2 linked regions of the Alligator mississippiensis genome follow. The protein of the gene in region 1 purifies or fractionates together with the protein of each later gene. This does not show direct contact. Links are inferred from orthologs where the notes say so. Each region holds a gene or a part of one and is shown in the gene's direction. Other genes may lie near its edges.

What was found. Proteins that work in one complex are often made in the same cells at the same time.
Region 2: the proteins of EIF3B (region 1) and EIF4G3 purify together in Homo sapiens (affinity purification with mass spectrometry; 3 studies listed by BioGRID and IntAct, with this or other methods). This does not show direct contact. The link is inferred for Alligator mississippiensis from reciprocal best matches to the Homo sapiens genes EIF3B and EIF4G3.

The regions. Positions count from the first base shown.
Region 1 is NC_081836.1:51,166,341-51,176,754, forward strand, and holds the start of EIF3B (eukaryotic translation initiation factor 3 subunit B), read left to right. Parts: upstream 1-5,166; 5' UTR 5,167-5,194; coding exon 5,195-5,621; intron 5,622-10,414. Other genes in the region: SNX8 (sorting nexin-8), read right to left, coding at 189-249.
Region 2 is NC_081836.1:2,548,160-2,559,256, forward strand, and holds the start of EIF4G3 (eukaryotic translation initiation factor 4 gamma 3), read left to right. Parts: upstream 1-6,561; 5' UTR 6,562-6,856; coding exon 6,857-7,029; intron 7,030-11,097. UniProt on the Homo sapiens protein: Component of the protein complex eIF4F, which is involved in the recognition of the mRNA cap, ATP-dependent unwinding of 5'-terminal secondary structure and recruitment of mRNA to the ribosome. Functional homolog of EIF4G1.

The DNA.
Region 1 (10,414 bases):
ATATTAACTGACCTTCTGAAAGGTAGAACATGAGATAATATTCTACAATAGAGATAGCATTGTACATACAGAGTAACAGATGGTTACTTTACAAAGTAAGACCTGCTTTAGGCCACAGTAAATTTGAACTCCTTTCCCTTGAAATTTTTCAGACTGCTTCCACACCCACAAAGATCTGAGTGACTCACGGATTCTCCTTTTCCTCCTCCTGGCATTATCTGAGCTGTCCTCCAGCCCTTTTTTCTGCATGGAGTGGTAGGGACAGAAGGAGTTTATCTGAGTGGATAGGCTCTTTGCTCCCTTACCTGTAGAGAGGAAAGGATCAGGGAGTTATGGGTGTCCAGTATGTCTGCAAACCAGGCCCTACTCACTGTTCTGGATATATTTTTATGTGCATACAATTGGTAAACAAAATGAATACAGAAAACTACGTTTGACACCACTGAAGTGTACTTGGTTTAATAAACCCTTCTTATGTTCTTGTATAAATATACCCTCTTCTTTAAGAATTGCTTTTTATATTCCACACACAGTCACACAGAAAAATATTGTGGAAAAACTTAATCCAACTGCAGAAATAGTTTTTAGTAAGGTAAAAAAGATTTGATTTAGTATAAGCCATTGACCCAGTCCCACTTTTACTATAAACACAGCAATAAGAGGAAGTACGTTTGGTGGATAAGACACTTCTGAACTGTGCTGTAACATAAGTAATAATAATTACTAGAAGAGAAAGAGAGAATGGGGGCTCAATGCTGCTGATATAAAGGGTACAATGTTAATCAAGGCTTCAGTCACTGAAGGAGTCCATTGGTGTGAGTCCAAGAACTGAAATGCCACATAGGCTTCAAAAAGCGTGAACTTCTCTGTATCTTTTTGCTGCAACAGAGCCACAAACAGGAATCAGTAGTTTCAGTTGTGACAGCCTTAGATAATATATACTTTATTAAAACGCTTAGAGCTCCTTGACATTTGTATTTTGACAGCTGGATTCCAAGAGCCCATTTCTTGCAAACCTTTCCATCCCTGTAACTAATTTTGTTACAAGCACTTCAAATCAGAGCTCTTACAGAATCACCTCCAGCTGATAGCACTTGAAATCTAGGTATAAGGAGCTGTCCCACGCCATCCTAATGTTGCTAAGGATGGAAAGAGACACAATGAAAACCAGAGTGAATCCTTGAGGCAGATAAGTGAGGAACATTTATACCAGAAAGGGAAAAAAAAAGAGAGAAATTGAAAGTAAGAATAGCTATTATAAATGAAAAGATCTCCAAGAACAAACTATAGAGGCAAAGAGAAGAAAGCAGAGTCATGTATTTATGGTAACTTGAGTGGTTATTGAAGGAGCACGGGTCAGTCTGAAAGGAGCAAAACTTTGTTCCAGGTACTTTCAGTTAGCTTATTGCTGCAAACTAGAAAATCAAAGTCTTGTTAATCAAACCTACCATAATGATTTAGCTGGAAGATACTGAAGTATCTGATCTCCCACTTCAGAGAAAAAAGTTAACCTTTCTCTAAGAACTTACATGTAAACATGCAACTGCAAGTAAATAAGCAGTTAATTGGATTTGAATGGAGTTAGGGTGACATCTTGTGACTAATTTACAAAATTACAAAGCTGGATTTTCCTTGCTTTATTCTTCCGATTTCTTCCCCCAAAGGATTATCCACATACAGAAGTGATTGCAAAATAAGATAGGGTCTGACATCAGCATTAACTCTTTGTATGGGTTTTCTTAATCTGCAGAATACCTTTTTACTATGTGGCTAACTCCATTTCCAAAGTGGACCAAAAACCAACTGCTAGAGTAAAAAAGGGGTGGCCAACATCCAACACGCGTACAACATGTGGCACAGGCAGCCTCTGTGTAGCACACAGCTGATTAGGGAAGGGACAGGCAGCACAGCAGCAGATAGAGTTGGGAACAGAAAACAGAGCAACAGATCAGGCTGGGGGAGGAGTAATCAGAGTGGCACTTGAGGAGGGCACAGGGCTAATTTGTGATATGCCCGCCAAAAAGGTTGGCCTCCACTGATGTAGAACATGAGAATCCTCATGGGGAGTGACTGCAGAATGACTATTCCGAGCCATTTCTCTGTGTAGACAAGTCCATTGCAGAATCAAAATAGTATCCACAACCAAGTCAAAGACTTTTTTCACATCCTGCTTTACATTTGTTATTTTGCACATCAGCCAGCATCTTGCCAGGTCTTGGACAACTTCCTGCACAGGCCATCTCTGGTCCACATCAGACTCCAGCTTCCAATCTTCAAAAGCTCTAAGAAGGGTGGAACTTCTGTAAGACTAATTAGGAGAAGTATAGCAAGTCATTGGAATGAAGCAATGTGACAATACCGACCCAGAGCATTCAGGTAGAAGAGGCCTATAGTCATCCCTGTGGCACCATTTATAAAGCAGCCTGTGGGCCATTCCATGTGGCTGCTGCCCAGTCTATCCTCCCTGCTTTGATCCCAAGTGTGTCACCCTGCTAAAGCAGTATGAGTCAGCTGCCAACCCAGATGTCGCCAATCACTTGATCGAATCATTGGAAGCAGCTCACCGAGCTTGATAGGAGGAAATGACTGAGAAGCTGGACTTCACCCATTCCATCTGGAAGTGTTGGAGTCTACTTTGTCATTTTGGAGTGGCTCATCAGCCATCAACACCAGGTCACCCTCTCATGGCACCTAACCAAGTAGCCAGCCACCTACTTCATGTAGCAAGAGCGCCGCTGGAAAAAGGAGTGAAAAGCTGCCTCCAAAAGCAATGAAGAACTTTTCACCAGATGCCGCAGACCAGAACCCCTCCAGAACCCTTCACAGTTCTTGAATTGAGTGAAGTTTTGGACAGCATCAAGTCTGGCACTACCCCAGGCTGTGACAGTTCCTTGTCCCAGATGTTACAGTCTGCCATCTGGCTCCAATCTGCCATGCTGTCAGTGGGCCTTGCTGAATAGGTTGCAGACTGGGCAAGGTCTGTGTGCAGCCAACCTCCACCACTGGGGTCTTCACAACAATCCAGACTATAACTGTGGCACAACACATGCCGTGTTGCATATTGTTGATGATTGCCCACTAAGTTCAGTGGTGGACTACAGGAACTGCACACAGCCACCGAGGATGCTATCGTGTGGCTTGGCAATTATACACATGTGGACTGACCTTGCATATGGCACACAGTGTCACTACAGGACCTTTTAAAATGTTTATTTTTTTCTTTTGGCCTCAGACCTGTAGTGGCACTAAGCAGGTGAGGGACCCACAAGTTCTAGGAAAGTCACTTATTTGTCACCTCAGTAGCCAACATGGAAAATAAATGGACACCCTCACTATAGAAATCACAGTGATGTTAAAATGATATGCAAGGCTTAAAGAGTTTTGAGAACATATTGCTCTTGCTTTCCTGTTCTTTTATGACTGTGGCAGAATCCTTTCACCGTTTCTCCTAAATACTCATATCACCAGTCAGCCTCCCTTGGCAGTGACGTGGAAAGATGGACAATTTCTGACAGAGAGGGAAATGCTATTGTCAAATCACAAACTGGCGGAGGGTCAGTGTAGCTGCACTTTTACTCTTTTTTGAATGTGACCACCCATCAAGTGGATGACATCCCTCTAAATCCTAAATAGTTTTGAGGGAGTTGGTATCTCTCACTGCACCAGTTAGAGGGTCAGCAGATATCTCAGCTACTGATGCACTGCTGAGCTACAGGCAAAGAAGTGCTGGATCCCATTTCCATTGCTTCTGAAGTGCCTCTCTGTGCCCTTGGAGGTGTTGGTTGTAGTCATGTTGGTCTAAGGACGTAGGCAGACAAGCTTGTTTGGGTAAATGTGATATCTTTAATTAGACCAACATGGCAGGGAGTAGTACCTTGTAGCGCAGCTAGCCTCGCACTTTTACTCCTAATGGGAAGATCTTGGCTACACACCAACTTTATGGAAATGGGAGGCTCTTCCCTAGCTTGCTCCTGCCGCCATACGGCTGAGGGCAAGCGAAACTTGAAGGCCTCCAAACCCCAAGCCTCCAGGATTGGGCCTGCATGTACGATACCTGCATCTGAAGCCCATTTGGAATCAATTTGGCTGACTTGACTTGGGACACAAAAAAAAGACCTTAAAAAAAGTTGGAAAAATTCTTCTTTGCAAGCTTTTGAGTGAAAACACCCTTCTTTTTTTCACCTGAAGATGGGCGTTTGTCTTCAAAAGCTTGCAAAGAAGAGTTTTTCCAACTATTGAGTTGGTCTAATAAAAGACATCAGATTTACCCAAAGAACCGTGCATGTCTCTGTGCCCTTTGCGCTAGGGGCTGGGCCCCATGTGGGTGCAGAGCTACGAAAGCCCTTTAGGGTCTGGCTAGATTAGAGCTGCTGTCCTATGAATTATCTGAAGCCCTTCCAGATGGGGCTGGATCACTGGCCCCTGGACACAAACAGCCCAGCACGTCCCTACTGCTGAGCACTTCAGGCTTGTGCTTTGCCTCTAGTGTCATGGCCACCTGGAGGGGAGGCAGCCCCTTTCCGACCACGAGACTGCAGGCTAGGCTGATGTGGCGGACCCTACCACCTTCGAATTGTCCTTGTGCACCCCCCCTTTGATGAAGGTGGTAGCGCCCACACACTCAATCCCACCACCCCTCGCCTTTGGACGAACCCATCGCACAGAATTGGTGGGACATCAATCCGTGTCCTAAACTCTGTACAGCCGCCTTCACGCCACCACTGGCATTTAAATAGACGGAGGGACCCAACCTTCCCTTTGGATCTACGCAGGGGGGAAATGCGCAGGTACCACCAACCCCCCCTTTCCACTCAAAGATGGTTCAGTCGGACCCCACCTTAGGCGGGTGAAGGGAAGAGGCCGCCATGCTGGAATGAACCAAGATGTCGAATGAAATAGGGGTGGGGAGGACACACCCCTGCAGGGCAGGAATAAAAGCTGCTACGGAAGGGAAGAGAAAAAGGAGAATGGAGGTGTAACTAGAGATCAAGTATTACCTTCCACGTGCATAGGAGGCGGTGTGTTGAGATTCGAGTGAATCAAAATAAAAAAACCCCTAACAATCCGCTTTCCCCTCCCGCGGGAGTTGGTGCGTGCCGCGTCGCGGTGGCCGCCGGGAGTCGCGCACATGGCCCGTGCGCAGCGCTGCCCCTCCCCCTTTCTTTCCGCAGCGCGGCCCAGCAGCGACCCGTCCATGCAGGAGGCCGAGGAGAGCCCGGCGCCCGCCGAGGAGCCCGAGCAGCCGGGCGCGCCGCTCCCGCTGGAGCAGCAGCAGGAGGAGGAGGAGGAGGTCGAGGCTGAGGCTGAGGCGCCGCCCGGGTCCCCGGAGCACCCGCCCGCCGCCGATGGGCTGCCCGGCCGCCTCAGCCCTGAGGAGGAGGAGGAGGAACAGCCGCCCGCGCCCGCCGAGGAGAAGACCGCAGCCGAGGAAACGCCCAAGGTAGAATCCGAGGAGGAGGCCGAGGCGGAGGAGCCGGAGCCCAGCACTGAGGCCGAGGCCGAGCCGTCCCCGGAGCAGCAGGAGGAGAAGAAGGAGCAGGAGGAGGAGGAGGAAGAAGAGGAGGAGGATGACATCTCCTTCAGCGACCCCGAGGACTTCGTGGACGACATCAGCGAGGAAGGTGGGTGGCCTTTTAATGCCTACCCCCCACTCAGCTTTCCGGGGGGGGGTATCTTTGCAGAGTGACGTGTGCCACGCGTCGGAAGAAGGGCTGCGGTCGTGACACGACGGGTGTCCGATGCAGCGTGGGTCGGTGGGTGATACGAAGGCTGCCACCTCTTACCCTAGGGGTGCGCGACTCGACGTGCCTGGGCTAGAGGGGATGTTGGCCACAGCTAGGAGGGACGAACGCTAGGTTATTCCTGGGGATTTCAAAGCGCCGTGCCGTGTGCGGCGTGCCGAATTTTTTGCCGTGGTTTTGAGAGGAGGAAGGGGTGAGAGAGCGCTGGGGTACCCGTGTACCCCAGGGGTGCGCGTACCACAGGCTGAGAAACTATCCCCTTAGGAGATCGACGATGGGGCCTGTGTTCAAACAAACGTTCGGTGTTGAATTGGATTTATGCAGCGGGCCGGTGGGGTTTTGAAATGTGATAGTGACTGCGTTTGCCTTCCTGACGTGAAGTCCGTCATGTCCCGCCATCGTGTGATGAAACCTCCTGGAATAGGGTCAGAGTTGCCAACTCGCTCCAGCCTGGGCTGGTCCTGTCCGTGCTCTGCACGGGTCTCTCTAAACGTATCTCGGGAGTAAGATACCAGAGGTAAGTATCTGCCGCTAAATGCGTCTTGGAAGTAAGAAAGGAGAGGTAAGTATCTCCCCGTTCTCCGCTCCAGGACAGTGGCGGGGAGGGTTTGATCGCGTCCTCTGCCGGCCCCGTGGTTCACTGGAGTTAGAAACGGTTCTAACCCAGGGACCGTGTAAGGCACGTCGGGCAAACGTCAGTGACGCTTGTTCGGAGCTTGCTGCGTCGTTGTTGGCAATCCCTCGATTTGGGACGTTGTCCAGCTCCTCGGTGAGCCTTCAGGTGACTTGAGGGTGCGGGTTGGTCTAAGGACACAAGCAGACAAGGTTCTTTGTGTCAGTCTGATTTTCTTTTATTTAGACCAACTCAAGTAGTTGGGAAAATTCTTCTTTGCAAGCTTTTGGGGATAAATACCCTTCTGAAGGCTGAGGATGTCTGGAGTTGGTGTGGATGGAAGAGCACAGGTGACCTAAGACCTTGGAGTTATAAAGCACTGTGAGAAATGGTGAGGCTGGGAAGGGTCCAGGCGTTGTCGAGAAGATCTGCCCAAAGCTCACCTCTTAAGGAAATATCAGAGACTCCTCTGTTTAGTACTGGCGGTTCCACATCAAGGTTATGTAGAGAATGGCTGTGCGTATCTATCCCCCCCCATGCGTAGTTGAGAGGAGTACAGCTTCTGGGGGGTGTTCCCCTCTCCCTACGAGTTGAATACTTCTCTCTTTTTTTTTTTTCTCTTCTTTTTCATAGAGGGGTCTTGATGACCCAGGTGAGACTGCACAGAGACATGGATTCTGTAAGCAGCTGTGCACTGAACCAGTATTTACTGTTCTGACACTGGTGTTGCTATCTTTGTGTAAACTTATGCATTGGTTAAAACAGCTTTGTGCAACTGAACAGAACCATTGTGCAAAACTGCTTGGAGAGTATGTGGTTAGAAGCTTTTTATTTAATTAGGAGTTTGGGAGAGACCTATTTTGTCTGTATGCTGAGTTTGGGTTTTTGATAAATTTTTAACCTCTATTCCAGACCCGGACAGGTTTGTCTTTTCCTGCATCATTGTCAGTGGTTATACTTGGCCATCTGCTTCTTGAAAACTACTTTCCTTTGAAAGGAAAGTAGTTCCTCCCAACTTCCCAACTCAATCGTAGTTGAGTTGACTCTTTTTGAAGGAGAAATTGAGTGATATTTCCATCCCAATTCACTGAATTAAGGCTAATACCATATTTGTGATGAATCATGGTTGTTTCAACATCTTCAGTGCCTGTTCCTATATTATGTGAAAATGATTTGAGGATCACTCCACTTCGTTTCATTGCTCTTTTACTGCTGATTGTGACCCGAGTCATCAGTGAATTCCTCTTACTTGGCCTTCATCCAGCAAGAAGTGGGATTAAGTAGACCGGATCATCTGCTGTGTCAAGTTCAGGTTGGGAAAGAGGGTGGTCACAGTGAACCAGTTAGACCCAAGGAAACCTGTTGTTGATGGTCCCCAATGGAGTATTCACTAGGTGAGGCTAGCTGGACCACAGCATCTTGGACCACACCCCTCCCTCTTGTTTCTGGAGGGTGGTATAGGAACTGGTTACACCAGCTTATTTTTTGTGTACTTGCTTTTTTAGGATTGTACGGGATGTAAAACCTCTTAATTCAGTCCTGATTGACAGAGCAGGCAGATATAGATAGCAGACCTACAGAAAGCCTATCAACATAATGAATTACTTAGTTTTTCCAGGTATCTGGGAAACTTTTTCTGGGAACTTTAGTTTTGAAAAGGGTTAGGAGAAATAAATGACTTCACAGGAGGAAATTGTTCCACCTGACTCTAAACTGACTTGCATCTCTTCTTTGGTATCTTACCTTCTTGTTCCACTTTTGGAAATGCTTCCATTTTGCTCTTAATTTTTTCTGTAGAAAAATATGAACTCTTTGAAAGAGAGTGGCTTAGAAAGCTCTGAATGTGCATCTTGAGAGTGCTTTGTATGTTGGGGAATATAATGTGTTTGGCAGCTGTCTTTTGGCATCAATTTTTCCCTTGGGCAATAGCAAAGAGGTTTTAATACCTAGTTTTAAACAGGTGGATCCCTGCCCAGTATAATTGCAGAAAAAGTGATTGAAGTTGAGTGGAGGATGGTCTCAGTTGCCATCACTAGTAATTTATCAACAATGGCTTGGTGTCTTGGCAGGAGTTGCAGTGTATGGGATCTGTTGACTGCCCTGGTTATTAATAAGATCTTTTTAGTGTGAAAATTCTCTTAAATTTATCAAATTGGTGATGATCAGGTCAATGTACAGGGAAAAGTTAGCATGCTTCTGTTTGCTATTGGCTGTAAGCAAGACAACCCCTAACTTATTGGGAGATGACCAAGAGAAATTTTAAAGATCTTGAAACTTTTCTGTGTACTCCTTTCACGAGTCTCTGGCCAGTTCCTACTGCTGCTTCTTTTCAGACCATTTGTCCTTTCTTCTGAGCCCATGCATTGAAAATTTTAACTCTGACTACTATGCACCATCCTCATTCACTTTTTTACACTACTCTTTCCGTTCTATTCAAAACATTTTTGCTGAAATTCTCAAAGCCAAGCTTACCAGCCATCACCTCCTTGCACTATCTGCATCTCTGCTCTTCTCTCTCATTTCTTGCTGTACTTCTCCCATCTTTGACTTCTGTGCTCTTGGTCAGTCTCCTATGGCTGGAAACAGTCTCTTCCTTTGGTGTCTCTGCTGTGCTTTCTGTCTACAATATTTTCAGTATTTTCAATATTTTTTGTTATTTGCCAGTCTTTGCATTGTGAGCCCCATAAGTCAATGAATACCATTGTTAAGTGCTGTGTAAACATACCGTTTTAGCTCAGTTCAACTTCTTATGTTTGTTTAATAAGGAATAGCTGTTTCACCAGGGAATTTGAAGTTACTTCTAATATATTGCACCTGAACTCTGAGTTGTCCTGGACAGGTTGGTTTTTAGAACTGTATGTTGCTTTTGGTTTTGACTGTTTTTCTTTCCCTTGTTCTAAATTACGAAAAAGGCTTGAGGAAAACTGCTATACTTTGCACACCTGACACATGTAAATGAAATTCAATAGAAGAGAATTTCTCTCCACCCTTTGTCACTGGTTCAAGTTGTTACTTTTAACCTTTTTAACTTCTAACATGAATGCATGTACATGCATTCAAAGGGCCTGCCAGGAATCCATAAGGGTGTTTCCTAAACTTAGGGATATTGTCTGGTCTTTTCTTGTGTCACTGGAAGATCTCTGTGGGTCTGAAGGTTGTTTCTGGGCTCTAATACTCATTGATGGGACAAAGATGTCTTCATTTTTTTTTTAATAAAGACTTACTTCATCCAAAGTTAGTAGTACTCACTACTTGTAAACACTACTTACTGTTTCCAAATAACTCGGATATAGATGCATTCCATCCCTTCTCTGTTTTGTACTGCTATCTTTAATCAAGGCAAATTTCCCCACGTAAGTGAGGAATCAAGAATATAATTCTTGACTTCTGTAATGCCACCTTTTCACTAGTTTTCAAATCATTGTTCTCTTCCAGCTAAGACCAGACCTGATACCTTGATGCAGAAGTGAAAGACTTCGGGGCAAGATGTTAATTTGTTCCACTTTTTTTTGTTAATCGTGCAGGGTTTTTTTTCATTTACCCTTTATAGCCAACCTTGCTAATGATACTGTGTTGCTCAAAAAATGTATGCTAAAACAGGACAGCGTGTCCTGTGTAGTCTTGATAATGTTTGCTTCTGTTTATTCATAAGCCAGAACTGTGTGAAGCAAAGTGCACAATGTATAGAAGGCTTACTATATAAATTGTCTATCCATTCATGCTAAAATAACAGATGGCTTAGCTTCCTGATTGATAAATGCTTACTTTTTGAATTTCAGGCAATGCCAGATACCTCCCCAGCAATCTCCCTTTTGTTCTTCAGTTTTACCCAGAGGCAGAAACAGTTCTAATATGAGCACGTCGGTTGCCAACCTTTTAACTAAAGGTGTATGTACTTCTAGCATCTCTGTGTAAGAGGTTGCTCTAGAATTAGGTCAGTCACTGCAGTCCTTTAACTGAATAATCCTGTGATTCTGTAGTTGGGAGGTGCCATTTTGGTTAATGGATTTCAGTGCATGTGTTAGCTCTGTCTGTGGGATTTAACTTGCAGTAACTCCCC
Region 2 (11,097 bases), about 49 Mb from region 1:
CCCATAATTCCTTGATGTCCCCATTCTGGATGGAAAGTGGGCATGGTCAAGCTGCATCCAAACCTTTAAAGCCGCTATGTACTATGACGGGTATCTTCAGTTTTGTTTATGGACGGAAGATGGTTTTTGGGTAAAGCTGGAGTTTAAGAAAACGATGCAGCAGAGATCCATTATTGCTGATGCATAGATGTATAAAAACTGATTTTGTTATAGGCCAAGATTATATCCGTGTAAGCATAGCTTCTCTGACTTCAGTTATTCTGGCTTCAGCTATCGCCCGGCAGCTGCTTGGAGGAAGGAAAGCCGGATCTTCATTTCTCTCTCTCCTGCAGCTTTTAGGGAAATCCGCAGATGGTTTAATTCTCAAGGTCTTCTGTCTCTGAATCGCGCCAGTTAGTTGTTTCCCAGCCATGCTGAGAGGGAGGAAGCACCTAGTAATATTTCTTCCCAGCAAAAGTTTAAAGAGGTAGATAATTGCAGCTTTTGCTAGATGTCTTAACTGGAGACAGCCACAGTTCTAATGGCTTGTGAGAATACCAGCAAAGGGCTCCAATCTCTCCCTGTATGAACTTTTTCTTCACTTCCTCAGCAGTAATTAGCAACCCCATGCTGCTGCTTCCCATGACTGAAAAGAGCAGGAGGAAAACCTGAAACATTCTCAGTGCATTATTTATCACCAGGTGCCACAATTACATGTGCCACCTCTTGTCTCACCTAAAAATACAGCCACTGCAAAGGACTCCAAGGCAATGGTGTTTGCTAGGAGGTGCTATGGCGACTCTCCCAAGGATTTGGGCACAAACCTCTTTTTGGGGGTTTTGGGGGGTTGGTTGTTTGTTTCCCTCTCCATCTTGTTCTTGTAGCTCCCTCACTTTGTAAACTTTCTCAATCCGCATTTTTTGCATCTTTTTACCTTGATGCCTGCGTTGCCTCTTTAGGGTTGGCAGCAGAAGTATTTTATAAGTGGAAAGGCCACAGGCTGTCAAAGGAAATTGGCTAGAATAACTATAGCTGTTTCTACAGCTAAATGTGTGTCCTTGCTGCAAATGGAAAGTGACTAGGACTAACAAATTTCCTTTGTATCCCTTCCTAGTGAGCTGGCAAGGATTTTCAGTCCTAGTCAGTTTAATTTTCACCCAGCTCCTTGAGAAGAGCTTGAGATAGATGAGAATTCACTAACCTTAGTCATTTTCCTTTTGCAAGATCTTTACGCTGGAGCATGGATGACTGGTGCAATAAAAACAGATGGCTGGAAACAGAAACCGAATAGCACGCTAGTCATCTTCCCTTTGTTGCTGACTCTTGTGATTTTTATTTTATTTTTTTATGCCATGTAATCTTTGTCTTTTGTTGTGGTGTTCCTGTAGATAGCGCCTCTATTCTGGTCCGAGTAAGGCAGGAATCGCTTTTTACTGGTGATACGCATGGCTTCTCAAAAGAACTGCAGCACAGTTAACAGCAGCTTTTCTCCTGAGATCTAGCTGTGCCTACGTTCAGTTAAAAATACACTAGTACTAGACTTCTTTATATGGGTCTTTTCTGATGTGACACATCTCCTAAAGCTGACCCTGTGCAGTTAGCAATCCATCTGAGATGCAATCTGTCTGGGGTTGTTGGTTGTAGCCATGTTGGTCTAAAGACGTAGGCCAGCAAGGTTCTTTATGTAGTTGCATCTTTTTATTAGACCAACTAAACAGTTGGACAAAAGTTATTTACAAGTTTTCAAGCACAACCACGTCTTTTTTTTTTTTTTTTTTTTTTTTCAGGCATTTGGAGACTCTGCATCTATCTGGGATCATTTTATGGCTTCCATCTACACTTGTATGTGAATGCCTTCATAATCTTTAATGTCTTTCTTCTTGCATCACCCTCTCGGGTATAGAAATAGCATTAACCCCATTTTACAGATCAGGACCTGAGCTACAAAACGATTAAGGCCTACCATATACTAGAGGAGATCTGTCCACTGTACTTGGACCTCTGGCAAACCCTCCTAGTGTATATGTAGTTTACAAAGGCCAAAAAGTGCTGCTGCTGTCACTATTTCTTGTACCAGTTCACTGAGCAACACCAGTGCAAGTGCTAGTTTTTGCTAGCATTACTGTGTCCACACTAGAGCCTTTGCTGTTTGTTGGGTTTTTTGTTGTTTTTTTTACTTGCAATTAATGGTTTTTGCTCACCAAATAATTTTTGCTCAAAGTCACCCATTGTGAATTGTATCCAAGTTTCCAGCTAGCTAATGCACAGTCCTTGTCTCATTATACACAGGACTGGATCAAATAAAACTGACAATGGAAAAATGTATTAAAAATATCTACTTCTCTCTCTCTTATTGAATGCTGCTCTGAGCTTCACCCCAGATAAATAGAGCACTGGTCCTGTGAGAAATGTAGAGGGCAAGCAGCCCTCCCTGCGTGTTCTTTTTTTTTATCCTATTTTCTCTCTGCAGGGCTAGAGTACCAAGGAATTAGCAAGTCCTGTGCTCCCGAAATTACCGTTCTTCAACTAAAGTATTGTCCTCCCCAGAGACTCAACCATGTCAGATCAGCTCTGTGAGCCTTATCAAGGTGAGAATCTGCACTGCAATGCCTATGGCTTTGAACAGGGAGCAGGTGATCAAACCTAGACCCTAAAAAGTGGAATTGGTTTCCACTGCAGCAGCAGCTATCTCTCCCTCAGATAAAACCACCTGAAAAGCTGTCAAAAACACAGTAATCCTTGAAATACTGGGAAGTGGTGTTTCAATGGGGGGGAGGCTATAACAATGTGAATATATTAGCTAGATGTGCATTTATTTTATAACAAGAGTTTTCCACTTTACAAGTCATGTTCATTATTTTCTTCTTTTAAATATATTTTTATTATAAATCATCTTTCATAAATTTACAGCTGCACAAAAGGCACAGTTCTGCACACAGTATAAGCAATGTAATTATCCCTCAGAAATTTGAAGAGATTTATAAGGAATACTAATGGCCTCATTCTAGGGAATGCATTTTAAATTCTTTCATTATCAGGTTTCAACCTGTCCTGAAATGCTGGTTGTGTCAAATGCAGTACGCATCTAGTGGACCAAAGGAAGCTGGTAAACCCTTTCTCGGATGTGCAGGAACCGTTCCGGTACTGAATAAAAAAAGCCTTGTGCTGGCTCTACCAGCATTTAGTGGCTAGAAAACTGACAGATCTAGTCCCTGGGGGATTTTGCCACAATGGTCAGATGCCACAGGTGGCAGGGAGCTGATGTAATGGGTCTGTGCTAACTTATGGTGTAAAGAATACTAGTAGCCTTCACGCACAAAAGTTATGGTGTGGCAGGAGTCCTGCAGTGTCTGTAAAGGCCCACCTGTTGGGCAGAGGTAACGGAAAAACTTAACATTTTCCTGAAGCGGCTCAAACCTACTTGGGGTGGGGGCCGCTATCCATCTTTGGGAGTAGGCATGTTCATCGGTAAAGCGACCTTTACCCTGTCCTGAACTTAACGCAGGACCTGAAGCTCAAGAGCAGACTCCAATTGTTCATTATTTTTCCAGAAAGGACCAGGCTTAATGGGCCTGGCTCTAAGATGTTGATTACTAGTAACTCCTGTTGGTTTAAACAGAAGTTGAGGGTGCTCAGCACCCCCTCAAGATCGGATCTGATAAAATAATAGGATGTAGGGCTTGAAGGGACCTGAAGAGATCATGTAATCCTACCCCTTGCTCAAGGGAGGATTGCCCCTGTCTAGACCAGCCCAGACAAGTGCTTGTTTAACCTATACTTAAAAAACCAAACAAACTGAGAACCCACTATGTCTCTAAAGTAGATGATGTGTTCCAATATTTAGTCACCCTCAAATTTTAGAGAATATTTCCTACTACCCAACCTAAATGTCCCATGTCAAAACTTCAGCTTGTTACTAGCCCTGTGCAAAACGGCTAGTACTCGTTTCGGATATGGCCGATTCAGGGGACAGTGATTTGATTCGGCCGAATCTGATTCGGAGCCCTTTTTCTTAAAGGGCTGGATCTGGCCTGGGCGGGGCACCTGTGTGGGGGCTGGGGAAGCGAGGGGGAGATGGGGCGGGGGGGGGGGGGGCAGTGGGGATCGGGGGCAGGGGTCCCTTGATTCGATTCAGAGATTCGGCTGCCGAATCTCCTCCGGATCAAATCGCCACCTGAAGCTTCGCACAGCCCTACTTGTTACTACTTCTGTCCCCTGTAGAAGCAAGCAAGTTATCACATCCTAACAACCCTTTTTATATTTTAAGACTTTTTCAAATCCCACCTCCCCTTGCATCAATTTTCTCTTTTCCATACTCAATTCTTCCAAACTTTCATGTTATGTCTTGTAGACCTCTTAACTTTCCGCTCCTCCCTACCCTGTTCTGGGACATTGTCCAGTTTGTTCAAATCTTTCTTGAAGTACAACAGCCAGCTGAAAGAACCATTCTTATTTTATCTCATTTCTTTTGGAAAGAGAGATGGGAAATAGTGTAAGGACTTATTACTTTGCATCACATCTCTCACCTGAGAGTCCCAGAATCTGCTGTGTGTGTGTGTGGCTGGACTGGAATGAAACCACAATGGAACAGGAGCTGTGTGGAGGAAGAGGAGGCATGTTGGTTTCTACCTCTTTAGGGAGAAGGTGCCCAAGTGCACGTGGAGTGCTAGGGACAGCTACAACACTGCTGGTTCTTTTAATGCATGGCAGGATGCTGGCCATAACACTGGAGACTCCAGACATCTAGGTCAGTCGTTCTCAACCTTTTTAGTCTCAAGGCACCCTACGGAAAATGCCAGCTCTTAGCATTCACATGCCTTTTTACTATGGAAAAATAATAGAGTGATTCTTCTGTGTGCAAAGAACTTGGGCAGTCCATAACAGGGCAGACTGTTTGTTTGTCATGATCTGAATTCTCTGGGTTTATCATGTGAATTGTGTTTGCACATCTAGCAGGGCTAACGTCGTGCAGCAGTCTGCAACATGCCCTCAAGGCACCCTGGCTGAAAATCAGGCTGAATGTCAGCTCTGTGGGTGTGGGACCCCCTCTCTGAGTGAGCCCTGCAGCACTGACCCTCTCCTGGGGTAGACCAACTACTGGGGCTGCTGCAGGAGGGGGTGGGGGTTTTCCCCCGCCCCCAGCAATTTGACCCCTTTTTGGGAAGGGCAGGAAGAGGCCAGCAGGCTGGAGCAGCTCCTGTGTAAGCAAAGGGACAGCTTCTGCATATCTCCTCCCTTCCTCAGAGCAGCACTGGGCCTGGAAACGGTGGAAGAGGCCAGTGGCATCTGCAAGTGGTCCCCAATCGCCGTTCACCACCCACTGACGGTGTCTGTGGACGGTCTTTGCTCACCATGGCTGTCTCACACCACCGTTGGCAGCTGCAGACAGTCCCTGCTCGCTGCCATGGTGCCCCCCGATTTAGGGAGGCAGCAGTCGTTCATGCTCCGTAGTGAGCGATTAACAACGGGGGCCCAGCCAGGAGCAGGGGAAGGTAAGTGGGCCCTAGCCTGGCTGGGTGGTGGGAGGATTGGAGCCGGGGGGGCTACCGCCCCATCTCTTGGGGGTGCAGTACAGCCTGGAGTGACCTTTATTTTCAAAAAGTGATCTTCCCCATAAAAAGTTTGGAGACCGCTGCCCTAAGCTATGTCCAGTTTAAGAGGCCCCCTACGATAAAAAATAATCCATGAAAATGGATTTTCATGAAATTTTAAGATGAACGATGGTCACAAACTCTTCCTTTCAAGGTTTTCTTTCGTTGAGTGGAGAGAAAAATGTTGCACTGTATCCCACAAGTGTCGCCGCCTCCCTATTCGCCTGATATGGCCCCTGCGCCCCTCAACGAGAGGAAACTTTGGGAGGTTTTGTGACGTGGAAACCCTACAACACAACGTGACTGAGCGGCTCTTAGCAATTCCAGCTTGCTGATCCGACGCGCTCCCAACGATGGCAGAAACGCTGGGAGAAGCGCGCGGCTGCAGAAGGAGTGTACTTCAAAGGAGATTAAGCCAAAACCCCTGTGAACACGAATGCTGCGTGGCCCAGGGGAGATGGGGACTGCCCACGGGTGGCGGCAGCGGTGCTGTCTACGGACACCGCTGGCAGTGCCCGTGGTGGTGGGTGGGAGTGGTGAGCAGTGACTGCCGGCAGTGTCGGTGGCACTTTTTTGCAGGGGGTGCACGTGCACCCATATGCATCCCCTCTAAATTAAATATTTTGTTCCCTAGAGCATGCGTCTGGATTACTTTTTGAGTAGCCCTTGTACTTTTCTCACATAAGAACAAAAATATCCATTTTTTGTGTCTTTTTGGAGAGGAAAGGGGAGCCCCTCAGCTGCAGGTTGAGGGGGGGGGGGGGGGGAGAGGAGAGGACCCTGAGGAGACTCCTGCCAGGTGAGCGCCTCGGCTCCTTCCGGAAGACGCCGAGGGAAGCCGAGCGTTTCCGAAGCTGCTCGGCACCGGCGCCCGAAGCTGCCCGAAGGGCGGGCCAAGCCGAGCGCGTCCGGAAAGGGCCGAGGCGGGCCGAGCCGAGCGGCTCCGGAGAGGCCCGAGCGCCCGCCCTGCCGGAGTGCTGGAGGCGGCCGCGGCGCCATGTTTGATGCTCCGCTGCTCCAGTGAGGAGAATCCGCCGGCATCGCCCCGCAGCCGCCACCGCCGAGGGCGCCGCTGCCCCCGGGGAGGGGGCCCGACACCCTCCGCCGCCGCCGGCGGCCCATGAGCAGCGCGGCCTGAGCGGCGGCGCCCGCCCGCCCGCCCGAGGCGCGTTGTCACGGAGACCGGCCGGTGGTGCTGGCCCGCCGGGCTGCCCCTGCCCCCGCCGCCGCGGCCCGGCTCCCCCCCGGCCCCGCTCCCCGCCGGGGGGTGGTGGCTGCGCGTGGCCATGAGTGTCCCGCAGAAGGCGGCTCTGAAGCCCGGCTCGGCGGCGGCGGGCAGCGGGGCGGCGGCGGCGGCGCCGGGGCCGCCTCCCCCCGCGGCTCCCCCTCACCCGGCGGCCGCGGGGGCGCCTCCTCCGCACCCCGCCATCCGGGCCTTGCCGCCCCAGCCGCCCCAACAGTATCCTTTGCCGGCTCGGCCCCTCGCCCAGCGGCGCCCCCTGCCCGGGGGTGCCGCGGGCTGCACCTGTTGTGGGGCGGGGTGGGCCGCGCGTGTCCCCCTCCCCGAGGGCCGGCGGCGGGCGCAGGGAGCAGCCCTGCCTGCCCCCCTCTCCCTGGAGGTAAGTGGCTGCCTCCAGCCAAGTTTTGGATACCGAGGATGATTTTTGCCGTGGGTGTTTTGGGGGGCGGGCGGAGGAAGCCGTCTCCGGTGCGAAACCCAGAGCCCGGCGAAGGTTTTTAAAGGTCTTCCGCTCTTCGCAACTAGGCCCGGAGTCGGGACGTGCGCGCCGCCGAGACCGGCAGGGAAGTGGAGCGGAGCCGGTCTGCGCGCGCCGTGCCGTGGGGCTCCGGCATCTCCCGGCGATTTTTCAGAAGTTTTGGGAGAAACTCTTCCCCCGGGAAAATGACTCCGTGCGTGGCGCCGAGAGAACGTAGCCGCCGGGTCTCCCGCTGGAAACGCGGGGTGACCCCGGGGCGATGCTTCGTACCGGCGGCGGCGATGCTTTCGAGGCGATAAACGCGCAAGACGTCTTTCTCGTGCGGTCGTACCGTCCAGCGAGCTCGCTGCATGTGTGTAGGCGCGTATGACGCTTCTCTTGCGGTGAATGGCAGGCTTGTTGCTCTCGCTCGCGTCTCGAGGCGGGAGGAACAAACCCTTCTGTAAATCGTCCGGCTCCTTGTGTTGAACTTCCAGTGAAATACGCGTTTGTTGTTGCCGTCATACATGTTTTGCTTAAATTGACACTGGAGATTTGTTTGTTTAGGTCAAAGTGAAGTCTGCAGAGGCTGGAGAAGATTGGTAATGGGAGGCTGAGTCTCTTTCTCGCTTAGTAATTGGGCTAACTTGCTAAAAGTTTTCAAAGTTCTTGCTTTTGAATGCTTGGAATAGCGTACGCTCATCTTCTTAAGCAAGCATGGCAGTGGCAGGTAAAACTTGCTCAGGGGGAGCTTGCTTAGCTTTGAGCCGTGTGCCAAGTGTTACAGCGGGGAAGCTGGCTGGCTTGCACAGAGTAAGTCAGTGCTCGGCCGATCCGCCCAGAAGGTACTGGACTGTCCGATTCCGTTGAACGTTCTGTTTGGTATACAACACCTTTGTGTGTTGACAGTTAAATGGCTTCTGCGTGCCTGGATCTGGGAACCGGAGAGAGAGACTTTTCAAAGCACTCCTCTTAGGTAATCCCTGAAAGCATCTTGGAGGGATTTGAATACTTTTCTGTGAATGCTAGCTTCTGCGGACTGCAAGACTGGCATGTACTGTAAAGATTGAAACAGAAAATGCCATCACATATGTCAGTTCTTTAGTGCAGTTTAACAGATATACTTTGCCTGCGTCAGGGGAGGACACTGACTGTCTTTTGAAGGCAGCCTAAAAAATTCCCAGTCTGTGGACTTGGTTCCTTCACGAAGGAGCTAGTTATGATATTGCAGCATTTCACGTTGTGGCTGTAATTAGGTACTAAGATCAAGATGCCTAAAAGGAAGGGAAACGAGGTCAGTTTCAAAGGTGTGTGAACTTGAAGAAAGACCAGCGCTTTCTAATTGTAAGCGACTAGTTTGTGACCTTGTGCTTCTGAATCTAAATGATTTCAGTGATTCAAGCTTTAAAGCCGTAACCATCCTTGTGATCATGTATGGATGCTCCATTCCCATTTCCTTTAACTCCAGTCTATTCAAATGTCTTGGCTGTTTTTGCTTTCTGCTAACATCTGGAAGTATATGTAAATAGTAATGAAAGCTGTTACCTTTTATAAATCTTAATGCAAATTTGAATCTCTGAGTATTTTGAGAGGGAAATTCATTAGAAATGTACTGAAATGCACAGGTCATCCAAGTTCATCCTTATTTTCAGTGCTGTTTTTTTTTTTAATGTTATATGACATCAAGGCAGCATTTCCTTACAGCAGATAAGCTACAGCATCAGTATACTGCAGGGTCCTTGTGTTTTCTCTCCAAGGCAGTACAGGGATTTATTTGTTGATGCAAATATCCAGCATGTTTTGTGTTGATCGAATTGTTGAAGCTCCAGATCAGGCTTGCAAAGCTAAAACTCTGTTTACTAGGGTTTATTCTGTGTCCTTGTGTCTTCAGAAATATGTGCATCTCTAATTTATTATATTAATTGAATGGGCATAGTCTATCAGTATGCTTGAGCAGGAAAAACTCGAGAAAACGAAGGAGAGCTGATACCCATCTGGTCCACATGTATTTGTGGAAAAGAAATAAATGAGATATGATAGGAAGAATATAGTGCTGGAGGAGAGGGGAACGTGCTGGTGCGTTTTCTTTTGTTTTTTTTTTCTTTTCTCCTTTAAAGGAAAGTGAAACTGGAAAGTGACAAAAAAAAAAAAAATTAGAAACCCAGTGACACTTCTCTTGTTGTGTAGCCTGCTAAATAGGAAGTTATGGTGACGACAGCAAGAAAAATGAGCTTTGTAAAAGATCCTTCTCGTATGATGGTTTAAAAAGTTATTTTCCTGTCAAAGTCACATGAAATCCATTTTGTAGGTTCAATAGAGGCAGGTGGCAACTGAAACCCAAATTCAGACGAGTGATATTCTCTTGGAAAACTTTCAATCTGGGCAAAGCACCTGTAGCATACCTGTCTCACTGGAAAGTAATGTCATTCTTTGTATGGAAGAAATAAAACCAGTTTTCTAGCTCTGGCTCTGGCTTGCGAACTGTTGCTGAGGAATCTGATCCAGTTTAACACTGTTATTCCATAGTAACACTCTTGAAGTGAAGCTATAAAATAAGAAAGGTGTACACTGGACCATGGAGCTCTGCCTTTCTGCTCAATAGAACTTGTAAAGTATATTTAAACTACAAGCGTTTCCTTTCCAACTCGCTCTCAGGCTCTTGCTTATAACAAGAATGGGTTTTAAGAGCGCTTTTGTCATACACTTATAATAAACTACTTTTTTAAAGACTTCAAAAAAGTTATGTGCTGTGGAGTAAGTATTGCTGATGTGATGAATATTATTAAGTCATCCATTTCTTCACAGCATCAGTCTGCACATCAGCAAATAGCACATTATAAAGGACAAACAGATTGCTGGCTCTTCAGGGTTAACTGAACATTGTACCTTGCAGCCAACTTAGAGCTCCCCTTATTGTGGGGATAGGTTCCTTTTCTTTCATTTCTTTTCAGACTTACTTGTATTTGGAGCCAGTTCAACTTCCTGATAACTGATGGTTTCAAAGCAGGCTACAATAAACATGACCTTAATTTATCACCTAAACTGTTGCAGAGTTAAACTAGGCACATCTCAGCATGTGCATTTTTCAGGGCTTTTGGAGCAAGGCAACCACATCAGATTCAGGATGTGTTGTACAACCTTGGTTATGCAAATACTGGGCTTTATTTTTTTTTTCTATTTGATTTTATCGCTATAGAAAAGCCTCTAGGTATTTGAGCTTGGGTAAAGCTGGAGAAGGGAGGAGGATCTGTTTTATGATTTTTGTATAGAGCATATATCTGCAAGAGCTTCCTGGATGAATTAGAAAAGTTGCTAGTCAACTTCAGGGAATCATCTTTTCTGTCTGCATATATAAGTGCAGTTCATTCAAAAAAAATTCTAGGAGATTTTCTCTGACCTCTGGGGACCTGTTCCACAGCCAGTCCTCCTAAAAAAAGAATGTTCTGTCTGTGGCACGTATGCATATGCGAGTGGCATGTTCCAGAAAAGAGTGGGTTTTTGCAGGGGGTGGGGGTGCATGGTAGGTAGAGTTGTGGTCTTTGATGCGACTTACCTGGTACTGGGTTTGAAGATCAGGACATAGTCCTTGAGCTGATGATTGAAGGTGCTTGGAATGCAGAAGGATCAGAACATCACGTTGCCTGGAAACAAGGGCTTCTCTACCTCTGTGCCGTCTTCTGTGTTAATATTTTAAAACAGATGGATTTTAATATTTCTGCAACCAAAAATTAAAATTTATTTCTTAATGACAGAAAGACTTCTGAGTTGATAATGAAGACCTGATGTCCTTTCCTAAATTTGAGAGAGGGGCATGGGATGCAGCATTGAAA